Tamandua tetradactyla: one gene and its partners. The protein of the gene in region 3 interacts with the protein of the main gene of each other region in a pairwise test. Links are inferred from orthologs where the notes say so. Each region holds a gene or a part of one and is shown on either strand. Other genes may lie near its edges. The genes, in order: DZIP3, PRPF40A and HNRNPUL1.

What was found.
Region 1: the proteins of HNRNPUL1 (region 3) and DZIP3 interact in binary tests that used the Homo sapiens proteins (3 or more experiments, as listed by UniProt). The link is inferred for Tamandua tetradactyla from reciprocal best matches to the Homo sapiens genes HNRNPUL1 and DZIP3.
Region 2: the proteins of HNRNPUL1 (region 3) and PRPF40A interact in a two-hybrid assay, tested with the Homo sapiens proteins (2 studies listed by BioGRID and IntAct). The link is inferred for Tamandua tetradactyla from reciprocal best matches to the Homo sapiens genes HNRNPUL1 and PRPF40A.

What each region holds. Positions count from the first base shown.
Region 1 is NC_135336.1:38,447,325-38,454,847, reverse strand, and holds the start of DZIP3 (E3 ubiquitin-protein ligase DZIP3), read left to right. Parts: upstream 1-4,520; 5' UTR 4,521-4,810; intron 4,811-7,523. Other genes in the region: protein CIP2A, read right to left, coding at 4,205-4,306. UniProt on the Homo sapiens protein: E3 Ubiquitin ligase proteins mediate ubiquitination and subsequent proteasomal degradation of target proteins.
Region 2 is NC_135329.1:123,080,624-123,088,307, forward strand, and holds the start of PRPF40A (pre-mRNA-processing factor 40 homolog A), read right to left. Parts: upstream 3,084-7,684; 5' UTR 3,042-3,083; coding exon 2,916-3,041; exon of another isoform or gene 2,576-2,915; intron 2,555-2,575; coding exon 2,159-2,554; intron 1,053-2,158; coding exon 921-1,052; intron 1-920. Other genes in the region: ARL6IP6 (ADP-ribosylation factor-like protein 6-interacting protein 6), read left to right, coding at 3,548-3,947, 5,474-5,527.
Region 3 is NC_135342.1:22,510,467-22,517,632, forward strand, and holds the start of HNRNPUL1 (heterogeneous nuclear ribonucleoprotein U-like protein 1), read right to left. Parts: upstream 3,039-7,166; 5' UTR 2,806-3,038; coding exon 2,511-2,805; intron 1-2,510. Other genes in the region: AXL (tyrosine-protein kinase receptor UFO), read right to left, coding at 6,494-6,845.

The DNA of each region.
Region 1 (7,523 bases), on a different chromosome or scaffold from region 3:
AGGGAAATAACATAGTAGATATGGCCACGCGACAGCCACACATTTTCCCAGCGCTGACACCCCATCAGCAAGCTCAAGAGTTTCACGCTAAGTTTCACATCAATGCAGGCACTCTAGCCAAGCGATTCAACATACCGCGCGCAGCTGCTAGAGACATAGTCAGAGCCTGCCAAAATTGCACAGAGTCAAGAGTGCTTCCTTCAATCGGAGTCAACCCTAGAGGCCTCATTCCGGGAGACATCTGGCAAATGGATGTCACTCACCATTCAGAGTATGGTAAGGCCAAATATCTACATGTGTCAATAGACACATGCTCTCAAGTTATGTTTGCCTCCGCTGAAACAGGAGAAAAGGTCCATCAAGTTATTGCTCACTGCCTTGCCGCCTGGGCGGCATGGGGCAAGCCAAAAATATTGAAAACAGATAACGGACCTGCTTATACCAGTAAAACCTTTCAAAAATTTTGTGAAACTATAGAAGTGCAGTTAAAGCATGGTATCCCTTACAATCCCCAAGGGCAAGGTATCATAGAGAGAGCACACAGATCTCTCAAAGAATTGCTTAAAAAACAAAAGGAAGGAATGGGCCACGGCCTATCCCCAAAAGCCCAACTGTCAGTAGCCTTGTTTACATATAATTTCTTAAATGAAAACTCACAAGGAATGACACCTGCCCTCCAGCATACCACTCCAAACCCATCACATAGAGGTTTGGTCCGATGGAAAGATGTCCTGTCAGGACTGTGGCAAGGCCCTGACCCGGTGCTCAGCTGGGCCAGAGGCTCTGTTTGTGTCTTTCCCCAGGAACCAGGACGCCAGCCGGTGTGGATTCCGGAGAGACTGGTGAGAACCGTGACACCGCCCGGGGGCGCCGAGAAACTGCTGCCCGACAAGTCAGCAAGCTTTCGACCTGAACCATCAGGCCCGGTCTCCAGCCCTACTGATGATGGCGACGACCGAAAAGATGACAACAACAGTGCAAGTGACCCTCCGACCGAGTAGAAGAGAAACTAGCTTTAACCCCACTTTTCCCACTACGAGCTACTGTGGGACTAAGTCACCTCATGGTTCTCTTGGCCCAGGTTGACCACTTGGATTCTTTTAGCAGTGGGACTCTTAGTAACTCTGCTCATTGTTGATTGTTTGTTAGAACGCTTGTTCCAGACGCAGCAACAGCTACGCGTCACCACTATGTTGGCTATGTCACTTGCCCCTGATGCCCCTGGCGACCCCCGCACCGTAGCCCTGTCCTCCCCCCCACTGCGTGGCCCGTCACGGCCACTCAAGGCGGGACGCTCGAAAGTAAGGTCTGCCGCAAAGCCCATGGCTGTATCCCAGGTATAAGTGGCGGCACCAGAAGTCATAATTTTGGTCGAAAGAGAGTCTCTAGGCAAAGTCGCGGTCCTGGCCAGACTAGACTTAAGCCATTGCACAGAGACACCTACGACACTCTCGACTCTGGTTGCCGCTCTCCTGCCCCCCTCATAACCCGGTTGCGAGGCGAAGCACTGCAGGGAGGGTCACGTGGTTTCCGGTTCACGGGCCCTCCGGTCTCTATATGAGGAGGCATTCTGGTTGGTGCCTAGCAAGCCTAGTCCAGACTCCCCAAAGCACCAAAACATGTAGTGGGCCGTTCCGGCCCACGGGAGCTCACTCATCAATGGAGACACCGGGTCAAAATAAGTAAAAAAGGGGGAGATGTGGAGAGCCGCCACCCGGGTCAGGCCTAGTGGACGCGCTGCAGCCTGCTCTAAAGCTCCCCCCGCCCATCGAGTGAGCCAAGATGGCGCCCACATCCTGCTTCCGCGTATGACACACACGCCCACCAACCCGATCTACCAATCACCCTCTTAGACGCGGCAACAACCTATTGGGCTTGAATTATGTATATAAGGTATTGCCCGGACGAGGCGGGGGAGACGACCCACAAGGAGCCGTGCCTGACGGCCGCACAGAGGTCGCTCCCCCGCGGGATGTATTCACCCGGTCGGGGAAAGTTATAGATAATGCAAGCTTAGACCCAGTAAAGATTTGTACTTACAACTGCTGCGTATTCTGGACTCGTTTTCTACCGCCAGGACCGGTTTGTCTGCGTCTCTTTCTCTCTCCCCCTTTTCTTGTCGTACCCTCCGCCGGCCGGGGGCCCGACGTTGAGCGAGGAGACACGGACAACGTACCATTAAAAATACAAATGATCACCCACTAAAAATGGGAAAATAAAAAAACTGACTGTTTTAATTCAGGGGCTGTTGTGGAGGAGTGGATGAGAGACTGCAAATCTCATATACTGCAGTGTGGAGGGTAAAATGGTATAACCTTTGGGGAAACTGTTGAGCAGTTTTTAGCAGTTTCAACTAAAGCTGAACATAAGCTTACCCTACCACCTAACAATTCCACTCCTCAGCATATTAAAGAAATGAGTTTGTTCATTCATAACAAACTGCTATATATTTACACAATGGAATTCCATACAGCAATAAAAAAGAATGAAGTACTTTTATATGTTGCAACATGAATGAACTTCAGATTTTTGTGTTTTTTTGAGTGAAAGAAGCCAAACATGAAAGAGTACAAATTTTCTGAGTCCACTTATATGAACCTTATGGAAAGGGATAATGAAACACTTTATAGGGGCTGGACAGGTTCTATATCTTGATACAGATGATGGCTCTATGAGTGTACAAATGTAATAAAAACCATCAAGTGCCTCACTTAAGATTAATGTACTTGATGTATTTTACTGTATGTATGTCATCTCTCAATTGAAAAAAAAAAGTTCTTAAGAGTAGTCGCTTCAAGCTAGTACTCATCACACCCTTGCAACAAAATACCCCAATGCCAGAACAGTTTTCTGTGAATCTTTCAAGAAGTCAGTTTTTAAGCCACAAATTGCTTTGAAATCTCCTTCAATTCATGCTAAAATTGCACTGAGAATCAAAATATACCTCTATTCTCTGAGAGAAGCAATGTTTCAGACTGCTAACTAAAATAAAATACTTAATGTTTAATTCTTAAATAAAGCTGATGGCCATGTTTATTTTGCGGCTTCTGGACTGCCACCAGCACACTGCTCTATCCTAGTTTGAAACTTAACTGTTATGTTTGCTGGGACTTATTGTGATAATGGATGAAAACAAAAACAAAAACAAAAACAAAAACAAACCTACTTAGGATGTGGGTATCTCCAATAGTTCGAAGAGGAGCCCCACTGAAGCTCAGGAGAACAAAGACACATTTATAATACTATAGTTTCACCAAAAGTTGGTGCTGTTATACCATTCACAATCATCTTCTCTTTGCAGTATTCTGCCAATCCTTGGTACATCAGACCTTCATTAGAGGGGTAATAAACCAAGTAGAATAGATTTTTAAATTACGTTCAATTCTATGTTAGCAGAGGAATTCTACAAAGAGAGAATTCTTAAAATATGCCTTGAATGAGTGAGCTTAACTTTTTTTTTTTTTTAGGTGCATGGTCCAAGAATCGAACCCGGGTCTCCCGCATCGAAGGCGCGCATTCTACCACTAAACCACCTGTGCACCCTACTTTTTATTTAACAGATTAACATTTGAATTCCACAAATGCGTTAACAATTGATAACAAGAGTCTCAAAATAATAAGGGTCACAGGGAATTATGTGCGATTATAATTTTTTCCAAAGAAAAGTTATAACAATAATAATCTAAACACAAATCACTGGGAACTAAGAAAAAGTGAATACAATTCAGCATTTTAGGATTTAAAAACTGTGAGCAATATATTTTTGTAAAGAAACATGATTACGATTACTAGAATTGGAGAAAGGGATTGCTTCTTAGGCCAAAGAAAGTTGAAATAGTATTTTTCAAGTACAAGTTCACTGCATATTCTGCGAGGGCTCTATTTCGATGGCAAAACCAGAACAAGAAGCAAAAGAAGAGAAAATACAAGTCCGAGCTTTCTCCTCTAATCTACCAGAAACACAGCCTAAATTCCCTAACCTTTTATTCCACTCTCCCCTTTCCCAGAGCCTTCTTTCGGCGCTCAACCTGATCGCTGCGGACAGCTAACCGTGGAGGAACTAGGGGCGGGGTGGAGAGTGAGAATTCAAAGCTGACACTCCCTCGCTTTTACCTTAACAAACAGCCCAGGGAGCGAGAGGCCTTCCAGGGATAGGGCCGCCACACCCCACCGCCCATGGACTAAGGATTATTAGATCCCTCACCTCCAAGTGCCGCAAAAGCTGGGTGGCGTTCGCCTCAGACTTAACGGCTTTGTACTGACTGATGATGAGGAGCAAGGACTTCAAGCAGGCGGTGGAGTCCATCGGGACCGATCACGGGCCCACCTGAAGATTTCCACCACCTTGTCTGCTCTGGTCTCCAACTTTCGCCGCGCTTTTTTGATTTTTCGGCCCCACCCCCTCGCTCCCCCGAGCTTCCGGTTCCGGTCAGCCCCCGGAAGTTCCTAGGCACGCTGGGGGGGCTGGATCTCGTTGAAGAGTAGAGGGGTGGTTCGGAGTGCCCACGCACTCGGTGGGTTTGTGGGGGAGGCGTTAAGGCCCGGTCCCTCCAAATCCCCTCTTTTCTCTGAGCCCGCGGGGTTTCGGCTTCATGATCCCGTGAATACGAAAAATCTCGCGAGTTACGCGATTGTGGCTAACCGATGTAGGGGCGTCAGGGGCTTCTGTGGCGTCTGGGGCTGGCTGTTCACCTGTTTGCTTTGCTTTTGTTTTCGTTTGCTTCTTCGGCCTTCACTCTGGATGGCCGGTTTTTCTTTTGTACATCATCTTCTACTTGGGAAATGGTGGCTTTGCCCTAGTCTAGACACGGTGAGGAAATCTGAGGTGGAAGATCTTTGGGCACTAGACTTTGAGGCGGTTTGGGAGGTTCATCATTTTAAATCTCTTATACGTTTATCCCTTCTACCTAGTAATGTTTTTCAGAGTAAACGTTTAGATTTTGTGTCGAGATATTCGTGCCTTTACGGTAGTCTTGTCAAAATGATTCGAAAACACTGCCTCCGGGCGACTCGGGTGTCAGTAGATAGTGTATTGCTCTTCCGGGTGGTTTCGTTAGAGTTTGTTTTTGTAAATGAAGGTGTCAGTTTTTGTCTGGTGTGATTGTTTTATAAATCTCGGTGTTTGGAAAGATGACACTTTGTATTTTTTAAATCGGATAATTAGTGTATGCAAGAATATGTTATGAAGTGAGTGAGTAGATGGTTTTGGAGTCTTAATTTGTGTTAATGTCGAATAAAGCTTTAAAAAACCAACTAATGATAAATTGTAAGCATAGAGTGCATGACCATTTAGTTAACTCATTAATCAGAAATCATGTTTTCTCAATTCAAAGAACGTATTTTTTATATCACTACATTTTTAAAGGCAAGACTTATTTCGATATTAAAAATATAATTTTTGCTATTAAATCTGAAAGCCTCAAATGATTTGGCCAATGAGACATTCACGTAAAAGTCTTTGGTTAAGGAATGTATACATAACATTCATTCATTCAGTAAACAATTATTAAATGTATAACATGGGGCTAGGCATTGCCAGTCAAGATACAAAGATAATTTCTTCACTGCTGTGTAATAAGGGAAATGAACTAAATAGAAAGTACATATGGGAATTCATTATGCAAATGAGAGACCATACAGTGATGGTAAATGGTGGAGGCAGGCTGTGTGGTACAAATCCTAACTCTACCTTTTACTATTTGACCAAAGGCAAATTCTCATTGTATTTCAGTCTCTAGGTAAGGTGAATAAAGTCTAACTAATAGTAATACCTGTTTCATAGGGTTGTTCAACATTTTTGAGACCCTTTAATGTTCAAAGATGCAAGCGTCAGTGAATGAAACAAATTCTGCTGCCATTGAACTTACACTCTGGTAGAAAGACGATAAACAGTTAAAGAAGATAATTTAGAGAAAAAAAAAACAGAGCAGAGGTATTACTCTGGAGTAATGGTGGTGGTTGTGTGGATAGTTATAATTTTAAATGGGGTCATCAGGATAGGTCTTATTGAGAAAGCAGTATTTGAGGAAATACTTCAAGGAGTTAAGAAAGAGCCCTGCAATTTAGGAGAAAAGGTATCCAGATGTTGGGCATATAGGAAATAATAAGAGCAAAGATAGAGTGATAAGGGCAAAGGCCTCGAAATGGGCATGGCAATGTGTTGTCAGGGACAGCAAGGAGGCCACCATGGCTGGAGTGGAGAGAGCAAGGGTAAGAGTAGTTGGAGATAGAGACCATTATAATATTAGTTAATCAATGTAAAGAGAACATTTACCTGGCTTAAGTGGGTTCTTGGTGAATATGGCCATCATTGGATGGTCATTTGCAAATGTAGTGATAAGAATTTAGCAGTGGTATAAATTTGAAAAAAATAGGCTTTTTCACTATACTGGCAAGTATATAATGACCCATATGCTGGGTTTGGGGAGAGCGTAAAAACTGCCTGCTGTAATGCTTTCTTTTTTTTTTAATAGCTTTATTGAGATATAATTCACACACCACACAATTCATAGATTTTTTAATGCTTTCTTAATTAGAAATCTTTCATTTTAAGCGGCCATACAAATTTTGCAGTTTTCTCCATAGAGTAGTTATTTTGATATAAAATGTCTTCCTCTAAAAATCCACACCAAAAATTGATGTTGTAAGTTAGTAGAAGACATCTTTAGCTAGAGATACTTGCGTATCCTAATTTAAGAAACACAGAGCCACACTTTTAAGGTCAAAATAGTGTAGAGGAGGAGGAGGCTATGAAGCTAGATTCAGTTAACTAAAGGTGATGTTAGGCTAGAGCTTGGATTCCATCCTGAATTAAGTGGTGATCTTTGCTTTAGACTAGGGCTTGACCTAGTAAGGTTTGTATTTTACCTGATAACTGGCTGATGGATGGGGTATGATTTTGAAGAGGATGAGACTTGAAATAGGGAGACTGTATAATTTGCTGGACTGTGTCTAAAGGATAACTAGTATAATGGAAGTGGACAGAGTGAAGAGGTGACAAATTTGAAAAATATATATATATAAAGTAGAATAGGCAGGACTTGCTGACTAATTGTGGATGTGAGAAATGAGACAGTGAGTCTGAAAGAATTTCTGAATTTCTAGGTTGGGAGTTTTAGAGATGTAGTTTGCTGAGGTAGTTAATAGCAAGTGTTCATGGTGTATTTTGTGTGCAATGAAATTTTGTATTCTTTGTCATATAATATTTTGTCATTCTTAGTGTATTCCTATTACATGCTTTTTGTTACTGACTGGGTTCTTTTTTTCTCATAAATTTCTCATTTTTATTGCTATTCTTAAAGATACTGATTTTTAGTAAATCTTTCATCCACCTACCTAAAATATCATTTATTTATTTATTTATTTATTTAGGCATGGGCAGCCTCCGGGAATCAAACCAAAATCTCATTAATTTTATTAGAGTTTTGCTTACTATCTTAGATTTTCTAGACGTATCAGTAAATAATGATTTCATCTCTTCTTTTCCAGTAATTTATTACATTGTCATAATCTCTTAAATGTGA
Region 2 (7,684 bases), on a different chromosome or scaffold from region 3:
CTGAAGACTTGTCAAGATACTCAAGTGGAAATAACCCAGCCACCTAAAGGATCTGTGTAGTATAGAACCTAATACAGAATACAGATGGCATAAAATTATTCATGATAACCGAATCTGTTACCTCTCTTGGTAGTTTCTCTAGGAACTCAGGTCTATCAAAGTCACTGAGTCAGCATTAAAACCTTCTGATCCAAATCATTCCCACAAATGTCAATTTACACTTATGCTAGAGATGGAAGGGACAGCTCATAAGCAGGAGTGCAGAAGCAATCAGCATTAAAAAAAAATAGTTTAAGTGCAAAGTGAACTAGCTACATGGCACTGTACTTTAAGAAACAAAAGTATGGAGCAGAAATCTCAAATCCCTGCCCCCCCCACATACATACATACATACACACACACACACACACACACACACACACACACACACACACACACACACACACACACACACACACACACACACACGATAGTCTGAGGAATAAAATATAAAACTCATTCTAAGCCAAAGGCCTAAACAACTCCTATTTTCAGATTCGATAAGGTCCACCAATATAAGTTACACTGGCATAACAGATATTAGAAAATTTACTCTCAGAACATTAACTTCAATCGATGTGCTTGAAAAAAGGTTATTGAACTAAAAAGCACAGATGTACATTATTACTTTCACATTAAATTAAAAGAAAAACTCTTAGTTCTGTTAAGGCAAAAACTTTTTTATGCAGAAGACATATTGCTGATACATTCAAAATTTGGTTACCGTCATGACCCAACATTTGGCTTACCTAAAAACAATATTTTGGCATAAACTAATTCTTAGTCAGCTACAAATAACCGCCCAGACTTCAAAATCTTGACACAATAATACCAGAAGGCAAATAAATAAATATAAAACAGAAATACAATAACATGCTTACTTGTCCCATTGGTGGCCCTCCCATAGGAGGCATCATTTGTGGCATCATTCCATGAGGTACAGGAGGCATATTGGCTCTCTGACCCATAGGGTGCATTCCCATGGGGGCATAATGCATACCAGGGTGTCCCATCTGAAAAACAGTGAAAATTTTAAAACTACGAGTAATAATAAATGTTCCTCAAAAACTCAACATATCAGTTACCTGTACTACCACAGTATTAGGCTATTGTGTGAGGAAGTGATCAAGTTAGCATATATCTTCTTATCTCAAAACAAAATTTAAAAAAATACTCGAATATTTTTAAACTTGCAAGTGACCAAATTTCAGAACAAAGTGGGAAAAGTTAAAATAATTGGACAGCCAGATTAATCTTTTTTAAAAACTACATTAATTTAACCAGGTACTGATTGGCTTGCTGTAAATTAGAGAAAATGTAACCTAAAACCACAACTTTATTATTTTTCCCAGATACAAAAGATAGTCAGATATTGTAATAACGTTACTTATTCTTGATTTTGTTTCCAAACCAACTTTAAACTTTAAAATCCTGAATATACCACATTAACTCGGATGAGCCCTAGTCCCAAAAAACAAACAGCGTGGGTTTACAGGGACACATCGCTACTAACGAATGAATACAGTATTCCTCAACAGAACCTTTAAGACAATTAAAATTACTTCTGCCCCTCAAAACAAATTTTTTTCAAAGATCTAAGTCCTGTCATTCATAGATGCTAAACGCAAGCAACTAATTCATCCGCTTTAACGCGCTTTTAAAGAGACAACTATTTTTTTTTTTACCTTTATGTCCATTGTTCCGGGTCTTAAAATCTGGTAACCGTTCCCTGCCAACTCTCCTAGTTGTCCCCCCTGCAGACACCACCATCACTAGTGAAAACAAATTTTGGCAGTCTCTTTTAAAATCTACAAAACCAAGTCTCCGCCTCCCCCTTCTCTGTAAAATCGGGCCTATCTCTCCAAGATGCTCACCCCGCCCAGGGCTCAGCACCTCCACCGCGTCACTGCCTAGGCCAAGCCCCCTAGGAACTTCCAGGGTCCCACATCCTTCTCTTTGTGCATCCCTGCCCTCCATTTCTCTCCTTCAAAACATATCCCACCATCTCGAGCTCTTCCTTCGTCCACTCTTATCTTCTTCTCCTGCCGGGGAAAGCTTCCTGTCTCTCTGACTCCGTTTTTCATTGTGCCGCTTTCCCCCAGCCCCACCGATCCCTTACCGAGGGCCGTCTCCTCAGGAAGCCGTCAGCAGAGACCCAAGAGCTGGAGCAGAGGCTTGAGTCGGGCAATCTCCGCTCCCCATTCCCGGGACCCCGCGACGGAGGATGGCTCTCCATTTCACTCACCATGAGGCCTCCACGTTCGGCTCCTGTCCCCGGCCTCATCGTCGGGCTCAGACTGTTCCGCCGGCGGCCACTGCCGCTACATATACCAACAAGAAGCGATCTGAGTGGCTGACGCCCGCTGGGGCTAAAGGTTAAAGGCTGCCCTGTGCTGAGGGGCGGGATCAGCGGGGCCAATAAGCTGACAGGCTTCCCTGCTGTCCAATCAGAGTGCGTCGCCGGCAGGCAGCTCTGCAGCGACTGGCCCCTAGCTTCAGCCTCACTCGGCGTCGCCTGCATGGGTGGGGGGGGGGGAAGGGGGATGGAGGAAGTTTCTGCGCCGAGTCCTCTGCTGGGACAACTCCGCCAACTTCCCCGGGGAAGAGAAGACAAATGTGTCCCAGCTTCCTGAGCTTAGACTGCCTCACCCTGTAGGGAGAGGGGCTGTAGGGGTCTGCCGTCTTCAAACCCCCCACCCGAGTTACGTATGCCCCACAAACCATAGGCTGCCCCTGGTAGGGTAGGGTGGGGTAACCTCCTAGCGTTAGCTGTGGCTGGGTCAGGGGTGCGCGCGCGCGGTGCTCGAGGCCAAGGGGAGGGGAGCGGAACGCGGGAGGAGGGGTCCTGAATGAAAGGGTTCGAACTCCGTACGCACCAGCTGAAGAGCGCGCAGAGTAGGAAGAAGACATGCCCAGCAGCGTGGAGGGAAGTTGTGGTCTGGGCGGGGAGAAAATAAGGATGCGAAAAGGAAATGGGCAGTTACGACAAAGGGAGATTGCATGCAGTGACCTGCCGTTACGCAGGATAGCCAATGAAGAGAGGGAGCGCAGAGGGAAAGGGGCAAGCGAATTGGCTTGGAAATATGTATCGGAGGGGCATAGTCGGGCGCTAGGACCGGGCTCGGGAAGGTGCGACATTGGAGCTGTCGGGGCGCGCACTTGCCTGGAGATGACGCGAGGGTGGCGGAGGTCTCCGGCTGGGACGAAGCGCTGCTAGGGGAAGGGACTCAGCTACCTTTGCTCTCGGCTCGCTTCTCCTTGCTTGTTTCTCAGCTCCCTGTCTTACCTGCCGGCACTCGAGTTCAGCTCTGGTCCGGAGACGCTTAGTCTCTCATCCGGCCCTGCGGCTCTCTCTCCGCCCTGCAGCGGCCTGGTTACGCACCCCTCCACTCGGGCGCCGGGTGGTGGAGGCCGCCGCTGGTCCCAGGCGCTGATTGGCTACTGCGTTCGTGCGGTCTAGGAGGGTGGGAGCCGCTTGGCCTCCGCGGGCGTCTCAGTGTTTCCCGCCATGTCGTTCGTGGAGAGCCGGAGCCTCTCGGTTTCGCGGCGCGGTCGCCTCGGGACCCCAGTCACGTTTCCAGGGCCTACGTATTCCGTATTCTCTCAGGGGAAGAGTTGGGGTGAGGGCGAGGTCGAAGAGGAAGACGGATGCGATCAAGTAGCCCGCAATCTGCGGGCGGAGTTTTCTGTTGGGGCGTCGTCCGAGCCGAGGAAGGGCTCGCTCTTCCCGCCGGACGGGGATGGGTCTCCGTTACTGCCTGATAAGCGCAATGGCATCTTTCCGGTGGTCGCCAGCGGCCAAGCCGGGGCTCAGCGGTGGCCGATCCAGATCCTCTCTATGCTGTGTTCGCTGCTGTTTGCTGCCCTCCTTGCTTTTCTTCTTGCCATCGTCTACCTGATCGTAAAAGGTACTGAAGCCCGTACCTTGAAAGTCTGTTCAGAATAGTAGTTAATCCAGGGCGTGTATTGCCTCCGTTGTCCCCCCACCCCTGAAAAGCAGACACGCTAGCAGCCCTTTCACCTAGTGCCAGCATCTACACCTTTTTTTTTTGCTCTTACTCCTCTGTCATTCTTTTTCCAAGGTGGAGGGCCTGAGCTATGATTAGGCACCCATTTTAAGAAAGTGTCATTTGGTAAGCGGGTGCTCTTGAAGAAATAAAATCACTTGGGATGAAAGTGTCAAAATAATATTGTCAGAACAACTATCATTAACAGGAAACCGTGAAAAGTGCATGTAATTAAAATAGGCTACATAGGTTCAAAGGCTTTGATCCATAAAACGGTTAAAGATAATATGCTGTTCGCCGATTCCTCCGGTAGTATCAGAATTTCTGGAGAACAAGGATTACTTTCCCTCAGCCCAAATGTATACGTTTATAGGTGAAATCGTTAGCCTCTCAGATTTGTATTAGTTTGCATTTGACCAAGTAAAATTCTGTAGGAGCCATAGGTTTCTTCCTCTTACTATCAGTTTTATTTTTCTGTGTCTGAAGGTGAAATATTGGGCAGATTAGAATAAAAATAGATGTGCTCTGAAAAGTTTTGCAGAAGCTTATATGGATTTAATATATAGCTAGGTACTGCATATTACAATGAAAAATATATACCTGAGTTTTAATCTTAGTTCTCACTAGTAAGTGTGGCCTTGGCCAAGTCATTGAAAAAGAAAATAAAACACTACGTTAGTTTTGGTTTGCTGTAGAGAAAACACCCAGCACGTTATCATTCGAGTTTTAGTTTCCCTTCACTAACTCAGATTTAACTCCAGTTTTGTTTTTTTTTTTCTCATTGCTTTCCCACTCCTAATGGGCTGCAGATGGCATCTAACAGCTTACAATGCTTGATTTTCATATAAGACAGATTGGCAAGTTATTGAGTGTGTTTTACTTTTCCATGAAATGGTATTGGGTGAAAACTGCCAATGTTAAATATTTGGCTGCTAGTATTTTATTTATCACTTCCAACCCACTTTTTATTTTATTTTTACTGTAACTTTGAGAGCTAGTTTAGTCTTACAAGTACTTTCTCTTTTGCTCTGAACGATTGTCCTTGAATTATAAAGTTATAAAGCCATAATAAGTTAGTAAGTGGAAGTCAATTGCAGAAGATATTGAGCTCTGCTTAAATTTTGGAGGATGGGGAAAGCAACTGAACTCAAGACCTAGTATGTTTCGTAATGTGCATTTCACAAAATGTCTTCACAACTAACCTTATGAAGTAAACATCATCCACATTTTATACATGGTATTTAACCTATAGAGCTCATATTTGCTTGCCGGAGGGTATTTAGTTAGTAAGTAGAATCAGAATTGAGCTGGTACTTGGACTCCATAGTACTCTCAACAACTCCACCATGTTTTCCTAGCGTTTGAATTACTCTTCAAATTATGAAGTAATCTTACTTTTCTACCTAAGCCCCTCTTTGTATTTACAGAGTTACATGCTGGAAATTTGAAGAATGAAGATGGTATAGACGCAGGGTTATTAGGTACGTACTTATTTGGCACTTGACTGAATTTGACTAACTTTTGTTTAAACTATAAAATATTGGATAAAATGCTTTATATAGTCCCATGTGCAGTTGATTTCATTTACATGTATGTAAGTTTATATTAAATTTCCTTTGTATACACACAGATAGTGTCCGTTATAAAATTATGGTAATAGATTTTGACCGGAACTGTATTTGTCCCAGATCCAGAGAATACTTAATGTTGCCTAATGGAAGAGGCTTCAACATGTCCCAGGAATAAAAAAAAAAAAAAAAAAAAAGAAAGTTATGACAGATTTAAGCAGAGATCAAGAAATAATTTAAATTCAAATATTTTTATATGCAACTTATTTTTTCTTTTAAATGTGTGAAGCATTGAGTGCACTTGCACAAAGAGAAAGACCTGACTTCTATAGAGTGTCCATAGAGTACTATAGTTTACAAGGTGTCCAGTGAAAAAGTCAAGGGTTTTTTATCCTGTATTTGATTCTCTCCACCAAAATGAATTTGAGGAGTTCAGAACTTCACTTGTCTAGTATATTTTAAACCAGTTTGCCATAATTTATTTGATCACTCTCAATTGAAAAAAGTTTAGACTATCCCTCATATCCACCGTAAACCCATCTTAGCTGAACTGTTTAAGCAACCTTTTCTAAGCTAATGTCATCACCATAATACAAAGTATAGCCTACCTGGTTTTGCAGAAGGGGAAACCTATACTTTCTTAAAATTATAAGCAGTTTAATTTGCTGGATATCCTATCGAATTTTTGTCTATAAACTCTTCTCAACTTCTTGCATGAGAGGATATTCAATTTTAGTTACTAATTTTACCAGTCTTAGTTGTTAAACTGTTTTCTCTCCCCAAAACAGCCTGAAATAGGAGGCGTTTATTGGTCTGCCACCTTTTGATGCAGTAGGTTACAATGTAACCTACTATGAACTAGGCATGAATTGTAACCTACTATTTTATAAAAGTTGGCATGATTTCACATTTATGAAAAAAATGGTGGCAGTAATCTTCTGAAAAAATATCCTGGTTAATAGTAAAAGATATAAAATAGACTTTGTCACTGTCCTGCTTCTTTTTCTGCTACCAGTTATTTAAGCCTGGTTTTGCTTTTGCGTATGCTTTGATAGATACATAATACTATAGTAGCAAAGAAGATCTTTATCTAAGACTTTGCTAATGACATGAGTTTACTTTAAATATTCAGAAACACATAAACTTAGAGAATTTCATTGGTAACAGAGACCATCAGGAGGTAGAAATAGGATAAGATATTGGGTATTTGGAGCTGAAGGGATACAGAGTGTGCAAAAGGACCGAATGTAGAAACTCAGAAATGGACAGCACAATACTACCTAATGGTAATACAATTATGTTAAAACAATGAATGAAGTTGAATGTGAGATTGATAGAGGGAGGAAGGCTGGGGGCACAAAGGAAATCAGAAAGAAAGATAGACGATAAAGACTGAGATGTTATAATCAAGGAATGCCTAGAGTGTATAATGATAGTGACTGTACAAATTTAAAAAGTGTTTTTGCATGAGGAAGAACAAAGGAATGTCATTATGGCAGGGTGCTGAAAATAGATGGTAATTAACATTTTAAAATTTTACCTTATGTGTGAGACTAAAGCAAAAAATGTTTATTTACTAGTTAAAATTTATATTTTGACTCATGCGTTTCCTAATATAACTTATGTAGACAGCTTAATTGAACGCCATAAGTACATGGAACCTTGAGTAGGACATGAGATTTTGTTGGGTTGTCCAGAGTGTTGCCCCAATAAATCCCAGAGTGATTTGAACAGTGAATAAAAAAGTATTTGCAAAGTCCCCTTCAGGGAATAATGAGAAAGGGGGAAAATTCAACTTTCCCAAGCTGAATTCTTGATATTCTCACAAGCAGTGTGGACAACCAAAGCTATAGGCTGAGCCCCCAATGTTGGGGTTTGTTCATATGAAACTTAACCCCACAAAGAATAGGTCAAGCCTACTTAAAATTAGGCCTAAGAGTCACCCCCAAGAGAACCTCTTTTGTTGCTCAGATGTGGCCTCTCTCTCCAGCCAATACAACAAGCAAACTCACCACCCTTCTCCTCTACATGGGACATGACTCCCAAGGGTGTGGACCTTCCTGGCAACGT
Region 3 (7,166 bases):
TATTCCTGGAGTGTGTATTATATAGACCCTGAGATATGGTTGAGAATAAGCTGAGCTGAACCCCTGCCCAGCAGAAGCCTTCAGGTTAGCATACATTAAACAAATACTCACAAAAAAAGTTATGATTGTGTTAAGGACTACAAAGGAAGGATACATAGGCAATAACTGAGTGATGAGAATGGAGGAGACCACTCCTGGGATTGGCATAACATATCAGAAATCTCAGAATTGGGACTGAAACCAGAGTACCAAACCAGAAACTCCCACAAGGAGGAGAACTTACAGGCAAACCCAGAGAGAACTTGAGAAACCTCTGCTGAGCAGGGCCCAGCCTCTCCACCCCAGGGGGCAGCTCTCTGCTGGGTGTCTCCAGGGCCCTGCTAGTGGCTGTGCCAGAGCATTAAGGCAGAAACACAGGGAAGGAGAGATAACTCTGCCACCCGCTAACCAACTGGTTTCCTTCTCAGAGGACAAATACATCTGGGCAAAACCAGGTGCAACCCAAAGGGAGGATAGCTGCAAGTCACATGGTTTGTTATAGGTCTGTTTACAAGGCTGAATGAAGGATTGGGGGGTGGACACGAAAATGGTTAATAAGATTTTGTTATGGGGGGCAGGGGAGAGAGGAAAAAATAGAATATTTCCTAAATGAAACACAGGGGGCCCTTTCAAACCATTCTGCCTCTTCCATGCTCTAAGTACAGTGCTCGTCTCCCCACATGCCCTATATCCCTCTTCCCAAGCACCCTTCCTGTGCTCACAGAAGCAGCATCGCGTCGGGAAGTTTTGACTCCAGGGTCCTTCTCCACTCTCTAAAATATCCCCCTGCTAATTACTAGGCAGGCCCAGTGCTAAGCCCCCCACATATATGATCTAATTCATTACAAGCCTGAGGGGGCCTATCATCATCTCTATTTTATAGGGCTCAGAGAGACGAATGACTTGCCCAAATTACAGAATCAGACATGAAAGGAAGTCTGTGTGTGTCTAGAATTTGTGCAGTGAAGTACTGAACTCTTCCTCTCTGAGACACCTCTGGCTGGACCTCTAGATCAAAACTGTCCCACATTACCCTCCTTCTAGGTATCCTTGCCAAGGTCCCTCCTGCCCTAGACATGCACACCAGGCCACTTCTCCTTCCCTTCCCTTTGCAATGGGAAGTCCTCTTCTCTGCACCTGGGTCCTGGATAATCCTAGCACCCTCCTCGACCCTAAGTCTATACTCAGGTTCCCCACTCCTCTCCATTAGCTCCCATCCCTCATTAACCAATGTTAACCTGAAATTTTGTCTCTTCTGTGATCAGGTTTCTATATTTCCTTAGTCCCAAGCCCCAGTATACCCTCTTTTCAAAGAAACCAAACTCTGGACACCAGAGTCCCACCCACTTATTTTTTTGGTCTCTAAATTTCCAACCCCCACTCCTGCTAAAAATTCACCCTTTTCTAACTCCAAATTCACTCCTTCCCATACCAGGGTCTCCTCTGCTCAGAAGCCCTTGCCCTACCTAAGTCCCTCTTATGCCCTCAAATCCTGAGGTCACCCCCCCGCCCCACGGCACACAGATAACTGCTTTCAGGAATCCAGGTGCCCCCTTCTCAAAGACAGGTCTTTGGCCCCCAAAACACTGCCCCCACTCTATTGTGAATCCCCAGTCAAACCAAACAGTTTTCCTTCTGCACATCCAACAAGCTCCCTTCACCCCTTTTCCCTATACTGGATACAAGGATCCTCTGTCCCCAAGTACTCCAGTTACTTCAAACTCCAACAACCTGTTATCTGTCCCCACCCTGAGGTATCTACCCTTAGTTGTTTCAGCCTTAGGCCCCCAGGTCTCTTGTTCAGAGAACTTTGGACGCCAAGGTTCCCTAAGCCTCCCTTAGCAGCAAATCTGAAGGTCCTCCTACCCACACCAAATGCCCAAGTTGCTCCTGCCTCAAGGTTGGCCTTCCAGCCCTGGATCTCAGAGACCCTCCAAGCCATCCTCAAGAGGATGCTGACCACCTCCAGGCCCAATGGACCCTCCATCTCTACAAACCATCCCAGCACCCCATGTAGCTGCAAACTTCAATCCTCAAACTCTCCCAATGCCGAAGAGCTGGTTATTCCTTCTCCAACCTTGGAAACACACGGCCTCCAATTCCCACACCCACACGCTAGGCTAGCAAAGTCCCCAAGACCATCCAGCTCTAAACTCTGGGACCATCCTTTCCGAGACCTTTCAGTCTCTTCTATTTCCGGCTTCCGAGCCCTGGGCTCCGAAATCTTTTACCCCCGATCTTCATCTCCGAAACGAAGAGTCGCCAATTCCAACATCTCCCCTGCGCCGAATGCCAGGATCCACCCTCCGGCCCTCCCGAGGCCCTTGTCCCCACATCCTTTTCAGCGGCGGGTCTCAGGATCCCTAGCCCCTAAGACCGCCTCCTTAGCCCCAGGCACCAGACTCCCGCGTCCCTCAGCCCTTTCTCGGCCCGGACTCCTCGGCCCCGGCCCCCGCCCCGCGCACTCTCACAATGTCCATCCGGCCCCGAGTAGCCGCCAGGCTCCGGGTGCGGCTGCAGCCCGGGCGGCGGTGGCTGCGCGGTTCCCTCCAGCTCGGAGCCCCCCTCGGTCTCGACCTCCTCGTTGTTGTGCCCGGGTCGCCCCGGTTCGTCGTCGGTCTCGAGCTCCCGCTCGTCGTCGGGCTCCTCGGCCTCCAATGCCGCCTGCAGCCGCTCAGCTAGCTCGGCCTTGAGGCCGCGAGTGTCCAGGCCGCGGCGCTGCAGCTCCTCGCGAAGTTCGTTCACCTTCAGACGGCGCACATCCATGGCCCGGGCCCCCGGGGCGGCCCCCGAGCCCGGCCCGGCCTCCCAGGGCTCTGTCCCCCTTAAACCTTTCCTGTCAGGAGGCGAAGGGGGAAGAAGGGGGGGGCACTCCAATGGCGGCGGCGGCGGCTCAAAATGGCCGCCGCCGCCACCTCCCCCTCCCCGTGGCCCCGTGTGATGCAACACGCATGCCAATTGGCCAGATCACGGGGCAACGGGCGCGGGTCCGGAAACTCAGCCAATTAGATCGCGGCTTTCAAAACAATGGAAACGAGAAGATCTAGGAACTACCGGGAAGGAAGCGTTGGCCTACGTCGCTGCCGCGGCCGGAGCGGAGGGCGGGAAAAGGCGGAAGGCGGAGCGCGCGCTGATTGGGTGGCGCCCGCGCGCCCGCTACCGTAGAATCAAATGAAGGAAAGGGAGTAAAGATTTGGACCAGTCAGCAATGAGGTCTCAGAATGAGCGCCACCAAACCCTTTCCTGCGCAGTTCTTTCATCAACCTAGTATCTCTGTAACACACATCCTGATTGGTGTAGATCTCCCGCCCCTTGAGGTGGCCAAGCGGTAAAACCACTACAACCAATCTTCTGGTGGCTTTAAGAACCGGAAGGAGATTTATTAACGAAGGACCCGCCTCTTGCCGTTAGGGCGGTTTCAAAACAGTCTGTCGGTCAATCGCAATTACTGTTTTATCTCGTAAAGCCAAGATAGCTGGATGCTTTAGGAAAAGCTAACCAGATTGGCCGTTTTTCAGAGGACGGCCTCAAAAGTTTCGCTGTAGAGGGAGGTATACGGAATAGAGATGAAGTAGATCATTTTTTTCTTAACCTGGAAGAAACTCACTTGCCTTTATGAAAACAACACTTGACTTCGGAGAGCCCTTGAAGATTCGAAAATAGAGGCCAGACTAACAAGGGGAGAAAAGTTGTAAAGGAAGCTGCACCCCCTCCCCTTCGATGGTGCAGCTCTCAAGGCCCTCGTCGAGCGTAGCTCTGCGGCCTCTTCTCTATGGTTGGTACCTTAAGTGGAATGGGCTCTCGCAGGAGGCCCCGCCCCCGAAAGAATTCCAGAAGCTGTTTTTGTTTGTTCTTACCCCAGATCTGTTTGGCGGCGGTACTGACAAGCTCAATATACGGATACGAAGTTAAGCTTCACACTGATAAATACAAACGCCACAGAGTTTCACAATGACTGCCTCGCACCCGGAATCCTGCACTACCTGTCGTCTCTAACTCGAAAGACGAAACTTCAGTAAAATCCACAAGCGAGATACACAATACACCCACCCTCTGTCCAGTGAGCCATATCTTAAGCCCACAAAAGCCACACAACAGCCTCAACGTAAATGAATGCACGGCACGGATGTACAAATCGATGAGACTGAGATTAGATGCAATAATTCCGGGCATAATACACCAATTCAGGATGCATCAGATAGCCGCGTATACGCGTCAGCTAAGGTCCGCACGGACACGCGGCATCAAAAGACACACAGGACAGTTACATTGCAAGCTTCCAGCAATCTAGACACACAGCACCCACTCAGAAACGAGGCAGACACTCACGTGGGCCCGGAGGTTCCAGTCCAGACACCCCGCCCCTCGCCCACGTCCGACTTCCTCTTTCCTCCCAGCTTCCCACAATGATTTGTTCTAAAAAGTTTGTGGCCCGGATTGAACTGTTCCCGGTCCTCAGGAGCCGCCACCGGGGGGCGTCCGGGCGCTGCCAAGGGTTCCTCCATCAGATGTGGGACACACCCAGGAACGGATGCCCGCCAATGCCTGCAAGACAGTGGGCTTGTCTTGGCAGAGGTCCCCTTGGTGGCCGGTGATTATGGCAAGCGTTCTGTACCTGTGTCTCTGTGTGAATTTGTACGTTTGCGCCTGTACCTGTTGTACTTTTATATGTCTCTGAGTACTTGTGTCACTGTTTTAGGATCTCTGTTACTCTGATCTTCCTATTCCTTGTATCTGCCTGTGTGTATGTTTGTAAAGATGTTTGTTTCTGTGTAACTTCGTTTATCTCTTTCAGTGCCTTTGTATTTGTGAACCATCACACCTATGTCCATTGATTCATGTGCCTGTGACTTTGGGGGTCTTTATGTGACCCCAGGTGTATCTATGTGCCTATTCCTAACTCAGAGTTTCTCAGTCTGGGTTTCTTTGCTTGTGTGTCTTTTTGTCTCTGTGTATTTTCTACCCTCTGAGTAGCTCTATAGTGACATGACAACTCTGAGGCCCTACCACCTCCTTTTTATTGATGGGGAAATTGAGTTGGCAGGGAGAGGGGCCACACCACAGCTGATTGGAGGGAGACAAGAAGAGACAGAAGTTTTATGTGAACTGAGCCTCTCCAGAGGCACCAGAGTCCACACTCTGTACATGGGGGATGAAGGACTGGCTCAAGGGGGCAGCATGACCCAAAATGGGGGAGATTGTCTCCTGGGGGGGGGGAGGAGGCATCCCTAATGCATTGCAAAGCTTGAGGGCAGCAGCACACCTCCACTCAAGGGTAGAAGGAAACAGAGGTGGCTAAGAAAGGGAGGGGCACATAGAAGAATATTATAAGGTTCCAACCTTGGAATCATACTAATATTCTGGACCTGTGGAATTTTAGAATCTTTGAAACTTAGAGCATTTGAGTCTTAGAACTACAGTGCCTGGAATCTTAATATTTTAGAAATGTGTACTCTTGGGCTCTTAGGAACTAAAATCCTAGAAAGACGGAATGTAGCATAGAACCTAGAGGTGTCCAACATTAGAAATGATTAGAATGTTGGTGTCTAGAATCTTAGAAATTTACAACTAACGGTGATAGTCTTCGAACTTTAGATGCTTAGGATCCATATCTTAGACCAATAGCATCTACAGTGCCTTGGAATATAGAAACAACGTCATCTTATTAGAGTTTAATAATCTAGAATCTCAGAGTATATGATCTAGAATCTTAGACACAGAGAATCTAGGTTCATTGAGTGTTCGAACATCTCATCTCGGAACATTAGACCTTAGAACCTCTGTGTTTAGACTTAGAATTTTTGAAATGCAGATTCTAGAAACTTAGACTCTTAGGATCCAGGTTCTTATAACAAAAGAATCTAGGATCATAAAGCCTTGGAACCTAGAATTGACTGTCATGAGAATCTCAGATCTTAAGAGTAGAAAACTTGAAGCCTTATAATCCAGAGTCTTATAAAGCCTTAGATGCTAGAACTAGAATCTTAGAGCTTTGTAACCTAAAATCTTGGACCCTTATCAAGAATCGTAGAACCAGAAAATCTAGATTCATAGAATCTCAGAGCTTTAGTACATTAGGCCTTAGAACCTCCACGTCTAGAACCTTAGAACTTTATCAGTGGAGACCTTGAAATAGCTCCTTAGAACCAAAGACTCATAGCATCTTTGAAACTCAGAACCTTAAACTCTAGACTCTTTAGATCCTAGAATCTAGAATTTCGAAATGTCAAACTGGGAGGACCCTTCAGGACTGAAGCTAACTCCCTTCCTTTTACAGATGAGGACGCTAAGGCCTGGAGAAGAGGGAGGGTCTGTTTGGGATGTTTGGAGGTGGGTGGGAAAGGAGGGCTGCACGTGAAGGAAAGGCCTGGGATGGGAAAGTAACGTGGGGCATTCCCCCCAGTGGCAGTGCCTAGCTTGGGTCCTGAGAGGGAGTCACAGATGGAGGGTTGACTTAGGCTCCATCCTCCTGCCCTGGCGGTGCAGGGGAGCCCCTGTTGGCAGGCAGGGTGGGGCCGGGAGCTGTGGAAGGGCAGAGCACGTAGCGTCCGGCAGGGTGGATCTCAGCGGCAGTGAGGCAGCTGCAGGCATCCTTAGGGTCAGGTTGGATGGGGGGGTCAGCTCCTCCAGCAGCTCCAAGGGGCTCGGAATGACCCCCACCCTCATCCATGTTGACATAGAGGATTTCGTCAGGTTCCTGGGCTGGGGGCAGGGCCTTCAGTGTATTCTCCAGGTCCTCCCGTAGTTCTGCAAAACTTGGCCGGTCCCTGGGGTTTAGCTCCCAGCAACGGAACATCAGGGCGTACCTAAGGTGACAGAGTGATGAGTGGGAGGATGAGCGGGGGCTTGGAAGGGAGCATTCTGGGAGTCTGGGGCACCTTAGGACACTAAGGGGACTGGGGACATCTCTTGTGGGCTGCAGGGAACCTCAGCAGTTTGGAAGCATCTGTGGGGATTGAGAATTCCCAAGAGTTTCTAAGCGGGTTCCTGGAAGATTTGGGAGCTAGGCGGGTCTTGTGCTCTGGGCGTGGGGTGGTGTTCTAATGGGGGCTTGTCAGAACAGAGCTTCCCACTGTGGTTCCCCAGAACAGACTCAGGCCTCAACGCCTGGCTCTGCCACTTGCACG